2 linked regions of the Lepisosteus oculatus genome follow. The protein of the gene in region 2 interacts with the protein of the main gene of each other region in a pairwise test. Links are inferred from orthologs where the notes say so. Each region holds a gene or a part of one and is shown on either strand. Other genes may lie near its edges.

Region 1 (7,198 bases), on a different chromosome or scaffold from region 2:
TTTCACGAGGGCCCCCCAAGGCCTAGCAGTTCTCCAGACCTTCTGTAGCGTGTACCTTGTTTCCTAGTCTCCAGCAGTTTCCCTTTTCTGTCCTGCAGGGAGCGGAGGTGGTGTGGCTGGTGGAGGTGCAAAGAGGTGGGGATGGGGAGGACGAGTTCATTGAGTGTAACAACATGACTCTCATCAACCTGGTGATCAAGGTGCTGGGCCCCCTGCATGAGAGGACGCTCACTGTCATCATGCTGCTCATACAGGTGACCTAGGGGCTGGGGACAGTGTCACTCATTCAAGGTTCCTCTCTCTGATTGTGTCCTATTTAACCTTCCTTTCATTCAGCTGTCTTCCTACTTGTAAGTTAAATGCATCTTCCTCACTCCTTAATATTAACCCCATATTTTTTTTTCTACAGTATACACATTTACGGACATTTTGGGTAGCCTGATTACAATCCCTTTCAAACTCTGGGCATTTATGTCATTAGGGGTTCTCTGACGGAAGCCTGCAAGCTTTATAATTAATACAGTGCTTGAGCCAGCACGCCAGAGGTGGCATTAAGGTGATGATAGGAAAAAACTGTGGATTTAAATAAGTAAGCAGCTGCCTCAGATGGTATGTTTTTCCCAGGGCTACCTAACGGTGAAGTTAAAAGTAAAACAGCTAAATCTTATCATCTGTAACACCTGTTTTTAGGCCTCCTCACTGTTTAAATTAGAATCCACATATATATAACTTGATTTGAGTGCTTAATTTTTCACAATAACTGTTGCTCCCAGCTTTAACCAGTTGCTGATTAAGAGATTCCAATTAAAACCTGCAGCCCCTAACGATCCGAGTTCATCACCCCGGTTTAAATACTAATTGCCCCCATATTCGCCTCTAAAGTGTGTTAGCCCAGTCTTAATGAGGAAGCGTGATTCCCCCAATTGGTCATTCTGACCCCTGACCTCTGGATGACCTCTGACCCATGCAGGTGTTGGGGAGCGCCGTGGCCTTCGGGATCCGCTACCACCTGGTGCGCCTCTTCTACGACGTCTAGACGCCACACAGAGGGACCCCTGGGAAAGGGTTGGGAAGAGAAAAATCCACATTTGTCTTTTTTTTTTTGTTTGAAAAACGTAACTGTCTACTACTGTGAAAATCCTGAATGTTGTTTATGTTTGTTTGATTTTTTATTTACTCCTTGTATCTTTGTTCCTGATCGGGTGTTAGTGTGGTGTACGTTTCTGACGTCGTTGCAATGTTCTTAGCTGCTCTCTGTCCTCGCAAGTCAATTTGCTCATAGCTGAACTTAGATGTCATGAGATGATTTGGACTTTGGCGCCTGCAGCTTAAAGAAGGAAGTCAGAAACCTGCCTATCAAACCGCTGGAATAAAAGTGAGTCCTGAAGGGTTTTGTTTTTGTCTGGCTTAATCTAGACCCCCCACCCTACACTTGGGTCTGTGCCATCTTCGTCCCAGGTCTGTCTCTGTTGACTGCTGTCGTCCAAGATGAGCCCCCAGCAGTCCAGGAATAAGAGACTGAGTCAGTCACACGCCTGGGTGAAAACATGACGGCGTGGCCTACTAACAGCCCTTTTCCATCTCGTATCCAGATGGGTGGCCACAACTAGGGATAAAAACAGAAAATGTTAGTTATGGGAACCATCCAGCATGTATACACAGATTTTCAAACTCGACATGCCATAAAATTATGAGTTTAGAAAATGTATCATACTAATTTTGGATTAAAGTATTTTTCTAATGTGCTCTGCACATTCATCACCTTATTTATATGCTTTGAGTATGTTGTCTTCATCTTCTGTGTCCTTTGCTAATGTCGATGCATTGCCAGCCCAGATCTTAAAGTTTTTACAACTGGATTCCAGTTTGTATCTTTTTAAGATATACAGAAAAGCGGTCAGACCTGGGGCATTCATCTCTTCTGTTAGACCAGTGCAGCTCCTGGAGGGTCTGTGTGGCCGCTGGCTCTCTAACACACTTAGGCGTGACCTGTTGGACTGGGAGACGCCTTGGCATTAGTCCAGTTAAGTCAATAATCAGGGGCTGTACATAGGTGAGAGATGCTGGAATTAAAACCTATAGCTGCACTGGCCTTCTCCTGCTCTGCCACAAATCGACAACGCTGTGGTATGTAAACAAAAAACATTACAGATGTTAGAAATAACGAAGGCATCATCAAATCACCTTAAAGTGGTTTGTGTTTTTGACCTTTTCCACCTTGAATATTTAGCTCATGAAGAAATTAATGAAATGCTTCGCCCCCATGATGTATGGTTTCTGTGCTACTGTAAGTATCCCTTCCAGTTAACCCTTGAGGATCTGGGCCACTTCTACGTGTAGAATTGACTGCAGCTTCACCAGCCCAGTGACTGTTGCAGGTCTGTTCTATCCTGATCCCGGAGGTTCAGGATCTGCTGGTGTTCACTCCAGCTCAGGTCTTAAAGTGCTCAATCAGCTAGTTTCTTAGTAAGGCCGCCCAATTTAACAGCTTCTTTCAGCTTTATACTGTAGGTGCTGCTTCTTTAAAGAGATCCAGAAAACCTAAGCATAGTGACCATCCAGGACCAGGTGTTGGACATCCTTGGAATACAGGCTTCTGTCTAAACATTTACAATCATGAGTCTCCAACATCTTACTGAGCATTGCGCCGTCCTGAGTCGCAAACAACACTGAATATGAATATGCAGTCCATTTGACCCCATTGAATGACTGTAAGTAAGAAACAGATATAAGTGTAAGCAATTATTATCATCGTCATCATCATCATCAAGGACCTGAATCAAGCAGTTATCAACAGCTGCAGACCTGTGAAAAGTGTTCTATTGATCCAGTTTGTTTCATTAGATCATTACAAGTACAAGCAGCAGAACAATTATCTAACTGGCAATCCAGGAGCCTCCAGGTTTTACAGGATAAGGGAACTGCAGGCTTTCGGCACCTCCCACCTCCTAAATAGTTTAAGGTCCCAAGGTGTAAACCATTCCAGAAAGCCAGACTTCACAGGCATTATGAACTGGTTGGCTCTGGCAGCTGTATCGCAGGAAAGCTTACAAGCAAAAGATCCACTGTGCAGACCTGATTGTTTGCAGTGAAGTAATCTGAAAATCGTATCCAGCCACTTCTCAAATGCCAGAATATCACTTTTGCAGTTAAAAAGTCTTCCTGAGTAATATATGCATTTCCCTGACTACCAACAGATCACCAACCTAGAATAAAGTGGTCACATGGAGCATTAACTGTACTGCATGTAGTTCAGGCACACTAAAAACCAGACCCCTACAGTGCTGAAATGCACTCCTTGTCCTGGAGGGGAAACATGTCTTCTGCTTTTCATTCCACCCTGGAATCTTAATGGCCTTCTTCAAATCAGCTGAAACTAAGAGATGATCTGTATTAGCACCGTTTGTAGGTTTTACTCACTAAGATAACCCGTGAAACCTGGTAGAACCCAGGCAAAGGAGCAGAATATAGTACAGTGTGAAACTGGCTTTTCAACATATCTGAAACCATTTAAGTAACATCAGTGCATATTTTCAATTTTGTCAATACAATTATCTTATCAGTTTGAAGATTTTTTTAACACTTGTCCATATTGTAACGTTTTAAATGACCAAGTTAGTTGTCATTCTATTGCTTTTCACTGTTGATGCACTTTCCAGTTTCTCTTGGCAGACTAATAAGCAGGCATATGTTGCCCGTGAGGGTTTCCATTTGAAAGATTCTCCTGAAACCCGTGCTCGGTACGCTTGGAAAGGCAGTGCATTGCACAAGTTAACCACTTGCTAGCGCGTATTAGTTTTTTCGTGAAAAGATTTCATCAATCCCGATATTTCTCGCCCAATTCATGACTTCATGTGTGGGACAACACACACAGTACAACCCCCATTTTCTTGAATATGTTCTTCAACTAATGATGTTAATTCAAATAATAATAATAATAATAATAATAATAATAAAGCTGTTGGGAACCTCATTCAATCACATTCATTGACCCTAGTTTCTCGGGGGGAAAATCTAGCAGACGTACTGTTTTCCTTCCTAAGACTTCTATTGGTCCTGAGCATGTATCCGGTTTATCCAATTAGCTACAGCAGCAGTTAAATGCACCTTCCCATTGGACAGGGCGTTTGCCAGTTACGATAAGCTTTCAAACACGATTGGTTACAGCTGAAAGTGGGAGTCGGTCAATGTTGAATTGTGCGGGAGAAGGGGGTGGACACTTGAAGTGAGGTGGAGGTAGGAACTGGAAATGTTGTTTTTTTAGCATCTGATATTTAGTTTGGCTTTCCCTTTTCAATTATGTGATTTTATATCACGTAAACGTTTTTCTTAGAGATTGCATAGTGGTCAAAAGTGCTTTCCGTTGTACCTAAATGCCCTCACGATAATATTGAGTTACTTATAACTCTGGCGAGGGTCTGACACGATTTAAAAGTTAAACTTCCTTCTGTTGTATAAAATAATGTTTATTAGCATTAAGAGAGGGGTTTCTCGATTGTTGAATGCAAACGTGCATATCGCCGTGTTGAAATGAGTCATTCATGCCGTAAGGAAAGAACCGGTTTTTCAAATCAGGTTTTCTGCAGCTAACAATATTTGATAAATCTGCCCATAATGCGATGTTGTACAGTAGTTTAGAATCGCGTATATCAGGGTTTGGATGCATTTGCATTAAGCATCGAAATTTTAGGAAAGCATGCCTAAAATAGTATGTAGAATGTAGAAATATTATTGTTTATTTTTCCGTAAAACATCAATACAGTACGGCTCGTCACTTCCTTATTAAGAAATCGTGCTGCATTTGACAAAATCAGGCGGTCTCTGGTGTGGAACCAACCGTGTAATGTGGGATTTTAATCATTTTCACCCCTAATCCCAAAAACTCGTGAATTGTGTGACTTTCCAATACAAATGAATACAGCAGGGAAATATACTTTCCCGTCGATATCTATTTTAAGTGAGGGTTTGTTGGAAGTTATTAAAAGACTTGTTCTTTTCGTCTATTGGAAAAGAAATACTGTATATATATATATTTTAAAAAATATATGCGCTTAATCCGGACGACTAATGTTTAAAGTGCTGAAGTATAGCATATAAACAACTTAAAACTGCAAAGTAATGTGCAATTAACTTAATCTGACATCGTCGTGGAAAGTTTCTAATGTTTTAGTGAACGTATATGGGCACCACGATTAAGAGCTGCGTGCGACCCTCTGCCGGCAGAGCTCGGTTCTGATGGGCTGGTGGTTCTGCTCTTCCCAGGGCCCAGATGTGATGGCTCCTGGAAAGCGTGCGAGGAGGGAAGAGGTGCAGTTGGGCTGTGAGTGGGGACCGTGCCAGGCCACTTTCACCAGGATGGAGGAATTCTGTCAGCATGTGGGGGAACATCTGGAATCTCTGCAGCTGGAGGCCGAGGAGAGCGAGATGCTGGGTGAGATTTTGGGATTGGGAAGGGGGAGTGTCTCATACCAGGTGCTTCTTTTACTGGGTGATCTGTAAAGGCATTGTAATTCGGAGAGATGTGGGACAACTCTGCCATCAGTGGAGAAGATTGTAAATCTCACAGCAGCATCTAGATTTGAAGAAGATTTTTTACAGAAGCTTGTTGGTGCCACGGGGGGAAAAAATGCATTTAAATGAGATAACATTGCTTTAAAATGAGAAACAATTTTGCGTTTAAACTAGTATATTTTTCTCTTGTGGTGCTAAAAAGCTTCCATAGGTTTTAACATTTGCGTTTAACCGGTTAACTGTATTTTTACAGTTTTGTCTGTTGCGCACTTGATGTCTGAATAAAAGGCTTGTAATGCAGAGTTAAAATAGTGAATGTTTTATGAAATCTAAATTGATGAGAGCTGGATATAGAATTCACTAAAATAAGGCTGATCTCTCGCCGGAGTGTGCAGGTGAAAGGAAAACAGTTCCAGTGGAGCTGGGGTTTCAATGCTCGGTAGAGAGTTTCACAGTCCCACGCGGGGCGTGTTTGCTGGTGTTCCTGTTCCAGAGGAGCGCAGCTGTCTGTGGCGGGACTGTGGGTTCTGCTCGCTGGAAAACCCCACGGAGCTGGTGAGGCACATCTATTTCCACTGCTACCACACCAAGCTGAAGCAGTGGGGCCAGAGCATCCTGAAGAGCCAGCCCGACCTGGGCACTTGCACCCTGGACCTGCAGAACCGCAACATCGTCCCCGAGATCCTGGATAAATTCCTGTGCCAGTGGGAGCACTGTGAGGTGAGGAGGGGAGGTGGGATGTATCCCTCTGTCCCGAGGGATTGGGGGAGCAGGGACTAAGGGGCTGTGGGAGGGGGGAGGAGTACAGTGTGTGCAGCCTAGCAGATTGTGGGATGGTGGGACTTGGCCTGCAGCATGAGAGAAGAGGGATCGTATGGTAGGGTCTCGGCACCTGCAAATTTAACATTTGCAAATTCGCTAGCTCACGATTCGGTCTGGCCGACGAGGTCTTGTATGCAGCGCGGGGAATGACAGGCTGGAGATGACAAGCTCACTGATAGTTTTATTGCCCTTTTCTTGACACGGGCCGAGAGAGAAAGCGCAGGCATCCACTGAATGCAGAGGAGGGATTCATGTTGCTTATGTTAGTGGATTACTATAATTTTGTGATTACTGTTGTTTGCTTTAGTTCATCCGAGCTACTTTAACTTAAAGCCAGTACTGTATATGGAAGGGTACCTTATGTCTTTTAATCTTACAAACTATATCTTGTAGTACATAATGTGGCAGTATAGGAGTGGACTTGGTAACTTTTATATGTGAACGTGGCTGTTAGCTAATGTTCTCTGCACTGAACCCTCGCAGATTTTGAGACCCTGCCGTACAGAGTTAAGTGAGGCTGCCCACAGCGTGAATCATACGAACTGTTTTTACTTTTCTCTAGCAGGCCTCCTTTGAGAACCCGGAATGGTTCTACCGCCATGTGGAAATGCACGGCCTGTGTATGGAGCTCAAGTCCACCAGCAAGGAGGAGCCTGTGCTGCGCTGTGGGTGGAAAGGTGAGGGTGAGATTCCCTGAGGCTTTCCTGTGCGTTCGCTGGCGCTCAGTCTCTCTGCTTTTCTCTCTTTGCTTGCGGAGGTGGGGGCGTCTCCACTGGGCCCCGGCCTGCGCGCCTGATGGTGGTCTGTCTGTCCTCCCAGAGTGCGAGGCGACCTTCAAGGGCCGGTTCAAACTGCGAGAGCATCT
Region 2 (7,318 bases):
CACTCCCACTCGCTCAGCTGTTCACAGCACCTGAAAGCTCGCAGTCCACTGCTTTGGCTGTGACAAAGATCCTGATGCCAATACATTGTGAAACTGCGGCTGAAGCTAAAATAAATATCAAATCCATTGCAGGCTCATCAAAGAGACAGGCCAATACTGTACACACACCCTCTTTCACATCATACCCAGCGTGGCCTCTTATTGGAACAGCTTATTGGAGATCCCACTCAGGGCACACGAGTCTCTCCGGGACTCTGCAGCACCTGAGCTCCTGGCGTCTTCACAGTCAGAGTATTCCAGCCTGGCCTTTAAAGGTTCAAATTTCATGAAAGCCCTCTAAATATACCAGGACATGAAGCTAAGAGTAGCTTACCTTAAAGTTTAAGAGTAAAACTAAATGTGCAGAAACAAAGCAGAAGGTAACTGGAAATCTGCTTGGACTGGTGGGCCACGGCCTGGTCTCACCTGTGGCCTGCGTCTTGGCTCCCTTCGGATGGTGGACGCGTAGCTGCAGGTGGAAGAACCTCACGATCTCCTCCTTCAGCAGGTCCTGCGGCCGCCGCTGGGCCCAGACGCACAGGACAGAGGGCAGGAGCTCCTCCCCCAGCCCGCAGACCCGTGTGCGGCAGTTCACGGCCGAGGCCCTCAGGAAGATGTTCAGAGCAGCCAGCAGGTGCTCCAGGACAGCCAGGTACTTCTCCCTCCTGCACGAGGCACAGAACACACGCTCAGACGTCACGGACCGCAGGGCAGGGCTCTCCTCGGAGCAGCGAGGTGCGGTACCTGGCGTTCAGCAGCGCTCGGGAGAAGAACTTGAAGAGCTTGTGCACCAGCCCCTCTGTCTGCAGGCAGCAGCCCCTCACCAGGGTGTGGATGATCCTGCTCACCAGCACGCGGTTGATGGCACTGGAGCTGCTGTTGTAGAAACCGCAATACACCTCCAGCAGCTCTGGACAGGAGAACACAGGGAATCAGCACTTCAACACGGCACAGCAGTTCTATTTCATTGTTAATCTTTCCAAGTACAGACTCTAATTCCACCCTGACTGCTGAGCTGAAGTCGGAATGGGGAATATATTAGTCTGGGCTCACACACTTAATGGAGTGGAGCTCAGGTGCTGGTTAAGGCACCTACCAGCCCACTGATGCTGTGTGACCTCACACCAGTACTTGCGGACAGACAGGATGTCCTTCAGCAGGATGCTGCTGTAGTCCTCTCCATAGGCACTGCAGGAGAAGGAGCTCCTGAGGACGCCCACCAGGTGAGCCAGGAGGTCCGTGCACTTCAGGCGGGGGCCTCCTGCGAAAGGCAATCGCTCCAATGTGTGAACAACGGGCAGGGAAAGGAGGCAGGAGATTAAGCAAGCGGTCAATGAGCTGCCAAAGATCTGTGTTGACTTAAAACATGGTCACTTACTTTTGTTTGCACATCTGATGAAAAATTTGAGCAAGCTGCTGACTTCCTGCATTTTTTTGTGCCTGTTTGCTTGTGTGGTGGCGGACACATTGGCCTTCCCAGTCTGCAGCGCCTCCGTTTCTCTCTCCACGTACCGGCGCAGAACCCTTCAGGGACGAGAGCCGCTGCTTTGTCAGATTCGCCTGGGCCGCAGTTAATTAAAGCATCCAATTTCTAAACCGCACGTCCAGCAGGGGCTTCTTAAACACCCCTTTCGCTGCAGATGTCACTACGCTCGGCCAGACCGCTGAAATCGCGACCCGCTCACACGACTGAGAGCCTGGTGGTAAAAACGGGGGAGCTGGGCTTTTGTTTTCTGACAAGTTCAGAATACTACACACTGGCCGTCACTCGTGGGTTTACCATTGTCTCCTGCAAGGCCAGCAGAGGCGCCATCCTGCTTGTGCTGCTCTGCTACAGAGCAGGTAAGACCCTGCAGCTGCCCTGGCAGTACAGTGCAAGAACACAGGAGCACAGCGCACTGGGGCTTCTACACGAGCCAGTGAGAGCTGCGGCTTGTGCAAGAGGCTTTACGTGCATCTTCGCCATTTTACAAGGCATTCCCCCTCAGCTACAAACAGAGCACCTCCAGGACTCCCTGTGAGCACTGTTCCAGACAGGAGCACTGCTGGGCTGCGTGTGTGTATAAACCAAATCGGCGAAAGGGTGGGTGCACAGCACAGTTAGGCTGTGTGACAGAAAATCCACAACAAGGCTTCACAACTAACACACAGGAAACATCCTCAGTGACTAATGCGACCTGGAGCAGACCGGCATGAACTCATCACACACGGTCATTCATTCGGGCTCATTTTAAGAGCACCTACCCAAAGACAGCATCCCAGGTGAGCTGTTTGGAACCCTTCGCTGCTCTTGAAGAACTGGCTCTGTCCAGGGCCTCAACTGTCTCAGGAGACACGATGAGCCGCTTAAATTTATCCGCTTCTTTCTGCAAAATAACATTGACAGGTGGACTCCTAAGAACATTCTGCTAGTGGCAACTGATTGTTTAATCTACAGCTGTTTAATACATCAAATCCACACTATTGTCAAAACACTCATTATGTCAGGGAAAATGCTTCATAGGAATGCCAAAAGTTACTCACTTAAAAACAAATGTATGAATGAAAGAAAGCTTATTACATTCTCAGACTTTTTCAGCTTCCTCATTAACCTTTGAACCTTTGAACATCAGCACTGAAGTGATCTGGTCACTCCTGAGCGACTCACGCCCCTGTCCTGCACAGAGGTGAACGCATCTACCTTCCTCTCCGTGGCCTTGTCGCTCTCCAGCCCACGGCAGCACATCAGGAGCTCATGCAGCAACAGGCTCATGTTGTCCTCAGGGTGGCGCTGCACTGGGGGCCTGCAGAGGCAGACAGGGGAATCGATGTCGAGTACTGACGCCGCACTGACAGTGCAGGAGCACAGAATCGAACTGGAGAAGCGTGTGTGGGGGGCGGGTTGCAGACACAGGCCTGTTTTGATTCATTACACCCCTTCAAAGTATGCCTTCTGATCACAAACACAAACGATTCTATACATAAATCATTCCATTAATAAGGGTTTCACATTAATGCAGTTTAAACGTTTTTGGTTTCGTTTTTTAAAGTGCCCAACCCCCCATCCCACTGAGCTGTAAGGAGCAGTCCCTGAGATCCTGCTAAGATCTACAGCGCACACGGGCGATGAGAGGACCACATTGCCGTCTGATGACCTTCCACACCAGCCGGACGGAGAACGCAGTATTACAGCAGGAGTAGCACTGCTTCAGGTGCTTCAAGTCCAGGAGTCCCCGTCTGCCTTCAGAATAGATCGGCGATGACCGTGCTAGGTGTACACGTTCAACAATCACAAGCGAGCTACACACACTTGTTTAGATCTGCACGGTATTACCAAAAACATACGATCAAGATCCAGACTTTAAAGTAAAGTAAGCTAGCTATGCAGTCTGATTAAAATTGACGTCAAATCATCTTAAACTACTAAATGATTCTCCGCATCTAAAAATCGCTGGGAACTGGGTACCTATTCACATACCTCCTTATATAGCTTTCTTTATTTCACGACAGGGCCGTGTTCTGACGTTCACTTAAACTAAATCCCAAGTACTGTCCACTATAAAGACAGCACAGCACGCACAGCAATACAAACACAAACCGCGCCTCCCCAACTTCAACTTCATTTCCGGGTCGTTGCGAAGACGGGCGGTTCCGCTAGCCAATCACGGCCCCAGTTCCTGAGATAGCTCCGCCTCCCCAGTCCCAGCGAGGCAGGGGGTCTCTGGTGCAGGAGCTGCAGACTGGAGCTTTAAACGCACTGCCACTGTATTTTTAATCCCGTTGAAAAAAATACAGAATATCATATCATTTGTCATAAATTTAATCATGACACTTACATAAAATTAAACGGTCTGGGAAGAGACCCCCATTTGAACAGTTCAAAACACAGCATGTCTCCAGACGTTTTGCTATAAGCGTAAGAATATACAATCTGTGCGTACCTTGATTTATCTCATTTAATTATTTTGTAAAATGCAGCTGTGTTATGTACCCCTGACGATGTTATGTATATAAACTCTTGTCTGTATTGTATATATTATTGTTGCAATAACATTTTTGATAAAAACATTTCCACTGACAGAATATCTGTTTGGACCTCTGATTTATTTTATGCCAGTTTCCATTGTTACGCACAATTAACGTTTTATATAATATTCTGAACCCAAGAGCGCTACTATATGTTAATACATTATCCGCCATGTAACCCTGTCTCGCGTACTGACATTGACTGACCGAACACCCGAACTACATTTCCCATGCAGCCTTTTAGGCGAATACTTCCGGGTGAAACGTGCTGAATTTCCGCGCTTTTTCTGCGGGTGGGTGTTATTGGGAGTTGTGTTCAGCTGAGCTGAGAAAAAGTATAACGGCTCAAATGTGTGCTGTTCGGTTTTCTTTCATGACTGTGCGTATGAGGGCCAGTTGAAAAGGCTTCACAACAGCCATGTTGCTACCATCTGACATTGCGAGGCTGGTTTTGGGTAAGTTGGAGGGGTCGCAGCGGGGTCTGTTGCGGGACACAGGCGTGTAGCCGGGGAGTTTGCTCTGCGGTCGCAGCTGAGAGCTGTGTTGATCACAAAGGGCCCCTGCAACACGTACTGTACCAGAGCCTGTATCTGGGGGACAAGAGCATGGTTAGCTAAAGAGCGTGTCTTTCACTGTGTAGATAACAGAAAGCACTGCATATAATATTTGATGCATGATATCGATACCACTGGGTGTAAGCTGTCTGAAACAACGGTGGTCGGAGTACTACCACCTAAAATACTAAATTACACACCAGGTACGTGTTAATGTCAAATTCCATAACGACTGTGACGAAATTATTAATACTGGGGAAAAATGTCCAGTACATCAGATGTCAGATTTTGATAGTATTCCAGTGGCGTTTATGACCTTGCCAAGATTTCAGTTGCAAGGACGTTATCAGAAATCAGTCATGTCCGAACAATTGTGCATAATTCGCTTATTGACAAAGGATGTGTATTTTTGGATGCATGCCCTGGTGAGTTGATATTGCTTTGAAATTCCAGTAAATGAAGTAAACCGAGTGCTTGTTTGTTCTGGGGTGCGCCAAGGGTATCTCCAACAGGAGCGCCTGACTGCCACTTGCCGGGCGTTCATCAGCGAGAGTCCGGACCTGAAGGAGTACGCGGAGCACAGCACCGAGGACGGAGCGATTCCTGCCTGCGTGTTTGTGAGTGCTGTCCGATCTCAGCAGAGCCCCTCGCCCCTGTACGCTGTAATGGAAAGACTTGTGGAAATTCGGCATCTTATGGCATGCACATGCAAAATTTCACTCTTTATTCTCTGCGAAAGTCTCACCGTACCTAAAGCTCTCATTAGCTGTCTGAATGAAATAGCTTGCGTTTCATGTGCTAGATTTGTTTTCATGAAAACAGCATACACAGTGTGTTAGACATCTCTAATCTGAGCAGTGTGCTCAGATTTATCCTATGTTTCCCTACGTTCTGTTTTATCATGTTGTTTTGTCTTTGCAGTCTTTGTTTGGGAAAAACCTGAACACCATTCTGAATGAATACGTTGCCATTAAAGCAAAAGGCAAGTACTGGAGGTTTTAAAATAACTTCAGACTCAGAGCTTCATATGTTCATGTTTTGTTAATATACAACTGTTTTTTTTTGTCAAGAATGCAGCCAGGAGTCACAGGTACCTGCTATGATGACGTCGCTCTGGAGGAAATTAGATTTCACTCTGAATCAGATCAGGTAAAAGGAAACTTTAACTGGATTTCTGGGGGTGGGGGTAAATGGAGCCTCTTGTTTCAGGATATGCAACCATAAGAACTTGCTCCCGGAGACTGTCGCAGCAGCGGTGTTTTTACCAGAGCTGCAGAATGGAAGAAAATCTTGTAGATAAACTGTCATGAGCTCCTGACATCATGCAAACAATTTCTTGTGTCACCTGTGTTACGAAAAAACTACTATGGCTCAGGAACCAGTCCAGGGTAGAGTAACCATATACATTGCTGGACCAGCGTACACCCTACACAGACAGACTAGAACTGAAGCTTTGTAGGCTTCAACAGAAAGAGGCATTGACAAACCCATCCCAGTGGAATTCTTCTGAACAGAGTGACGCATTAACCAGAGGACGTAGGTTGAAACTACATTTAAAACTAGGAACCGGGGAGTCTGTCATAAGTATCCCATTTCTAAAGAAATGAAATATTATAATTTGACACATTCCAAATTTTGCAGGACTGTCAGATATTATCTTGGCATGAGAATAGTGAAATGTAAAATGAATAAAGATGTTTTTGAGCAAAACTGTTTTTCAGGATGGCTTAATGATGTCTATTGCTCTCACTAGGTGTATGCAGAACTCTCCAAGCATTTACAACAACCAAAGATGTAAGCTGGCCTTTTCATTTTTATTATTTAAATACAGTTTATTTTTTCTGTCCGGTATCTTTTCACTGCATTTTAGATTTTAGGAAACCACAGGTCTTTCATACCATAATGAGTCTGTCAAATGGATTTCTCAGACTTGTAGGAGAAAAGGGGAAATTGAAGGTTTAGAAAAAAGATAACTGATTTTTTCCTCTGCATGTTTATGATAACCCTCTTATAAATGTCTCCTTCCATGTCGGTCTCAGACATTCTGGAAAGTTCTGTCTTGCATTCGCAGATGTTCCCATATTGAAAAGAAAAGCATATTGTATTGTTTTCTTAGCTAAAATTGACCATCGTTTCATAATGAATCAGATCCTGCACAGTCTGTTGGCATTGTAACTATTCATTGCTTCTGGCTCTTTCAATATTAAAAAAAAAAAAGATTTGATGATTTTTTAATCTCAAACATTCTTGACTTTGAATTTTTATTCCCCTCTGCCTTTTGGCACATTTACAGTATCAGCCTGTACTTTCAGATCTTTGTTCTCGGGTGTCTGGCACCGCTTCTCTCTTTGCGTGCGTGTCCGTGTGCTCATCGGAGCTCTCACCCCTGCTGTGTGCCCGTGTGCCCATGTTGCAGTTCGCACCCGGAATGGGATCCTGAACGTGCGGCATCAGAGAGCTCAGCCCTCCCCGCCGGCTCCGGGCAGCTCCGGGCTGCTGTCTGTGACTCCCTCTCCCGGCCAGCACAGCCCCAGCCCCAGCCCCGTGTGCGTGCCTCAGGCCATGCTGGGGTGCTCCACTCCCATCTGCTACAGCTCCCTGCACGCGAGACCCTCCCCCCTGTGCGTCAGCCAGTCTCAGGTCCAGGAGCGAAGCAGGGCTGTGCTCAACGTGAGCAGTAAGTGGAACACCGAGGGGTCGTGGTGAACATGTAGTTAAAG

What was found. The genes of interacting proteins can lie anywhere in the genome.
Region 1: the proteins of npat (region 2) and hinfp interact in a two-hybrid assay, tested with the Homo sapiens proteins (2 studies listed by BioGRID). The link is inferred for Lepisosteus oculatus from reciprocal best matches to the Homo sapiens genes NPAT and HINFP.

The regions. Positions count from the first base shown.
Region 1 is NC_090718.1:11,533,462-11,540,659, reverse strand, and holds the start of hinfp (histone H4 transcription factor), read left to right. Parts: upstream 1-4,178; 5' UTR 4,179-4,236; intron 4,237-4,254; exon of another isoform or gene 4,255-4,546; intron 4,547-5,262; 5' UTR 5,263-5,274; coding exon 5,275-5,431; intron 5,432-6,004; coding exon 6,005-6,231; intron 6,232-6,895; coding exon 6,896-7,010; intron 7,011-7,152; coding exon 7,153-7,198. Other genes in the region: dpagt1 (UDP-N-acetylglucosamine--dolichyl-phosphate N-acetylglucosaminephosphotransferase), read left to right, coding at 99-254, 971-1,036. UniProt on the Homo sapiens protein: Transcriptional repressor that binds to the consensus sequence 5'-CGGACGTT-3' and to the RB1 promoter. Transcriptional activator that promotes histone H4 gene transcription at the G1/S phase transition in conjunction with NPAT.
Region 2 is NC_090700.1:683,945-691,262, reverse strand, and holds the start of npat (protein NPAT), read left to right. Parts: upstream 1-4,317; 5' UTR 4,318-4,462; coding exon 4,463-4,499; intron 4,500-5,096; coding exon 5,097-5,215; intron 5,216-5,519; coding exon 5,520-5,580; intron 5,581-5,668; coding exon 5,669-5,747; intron 5,748-6,351; coding exon 6,352-6,392; intron 6,393-7,014; coding exon 7,015-7,275; intron 7,276-7,318. Other genes in the region: serine-protein kinase ATM, read right to left, coding at 466-704, 784-949, 1,136-1,300, 1,418-1,563, 2,284-2,405, 2,720-2,791. UniProt on the Homo sapiens protein: Required for progression through the G1 and S phases of the cell cycle and for S phase entry. Activates transcription of the histone H2A, histone H2B, histone H3 and histone H4 genes in conjunction with MIZF.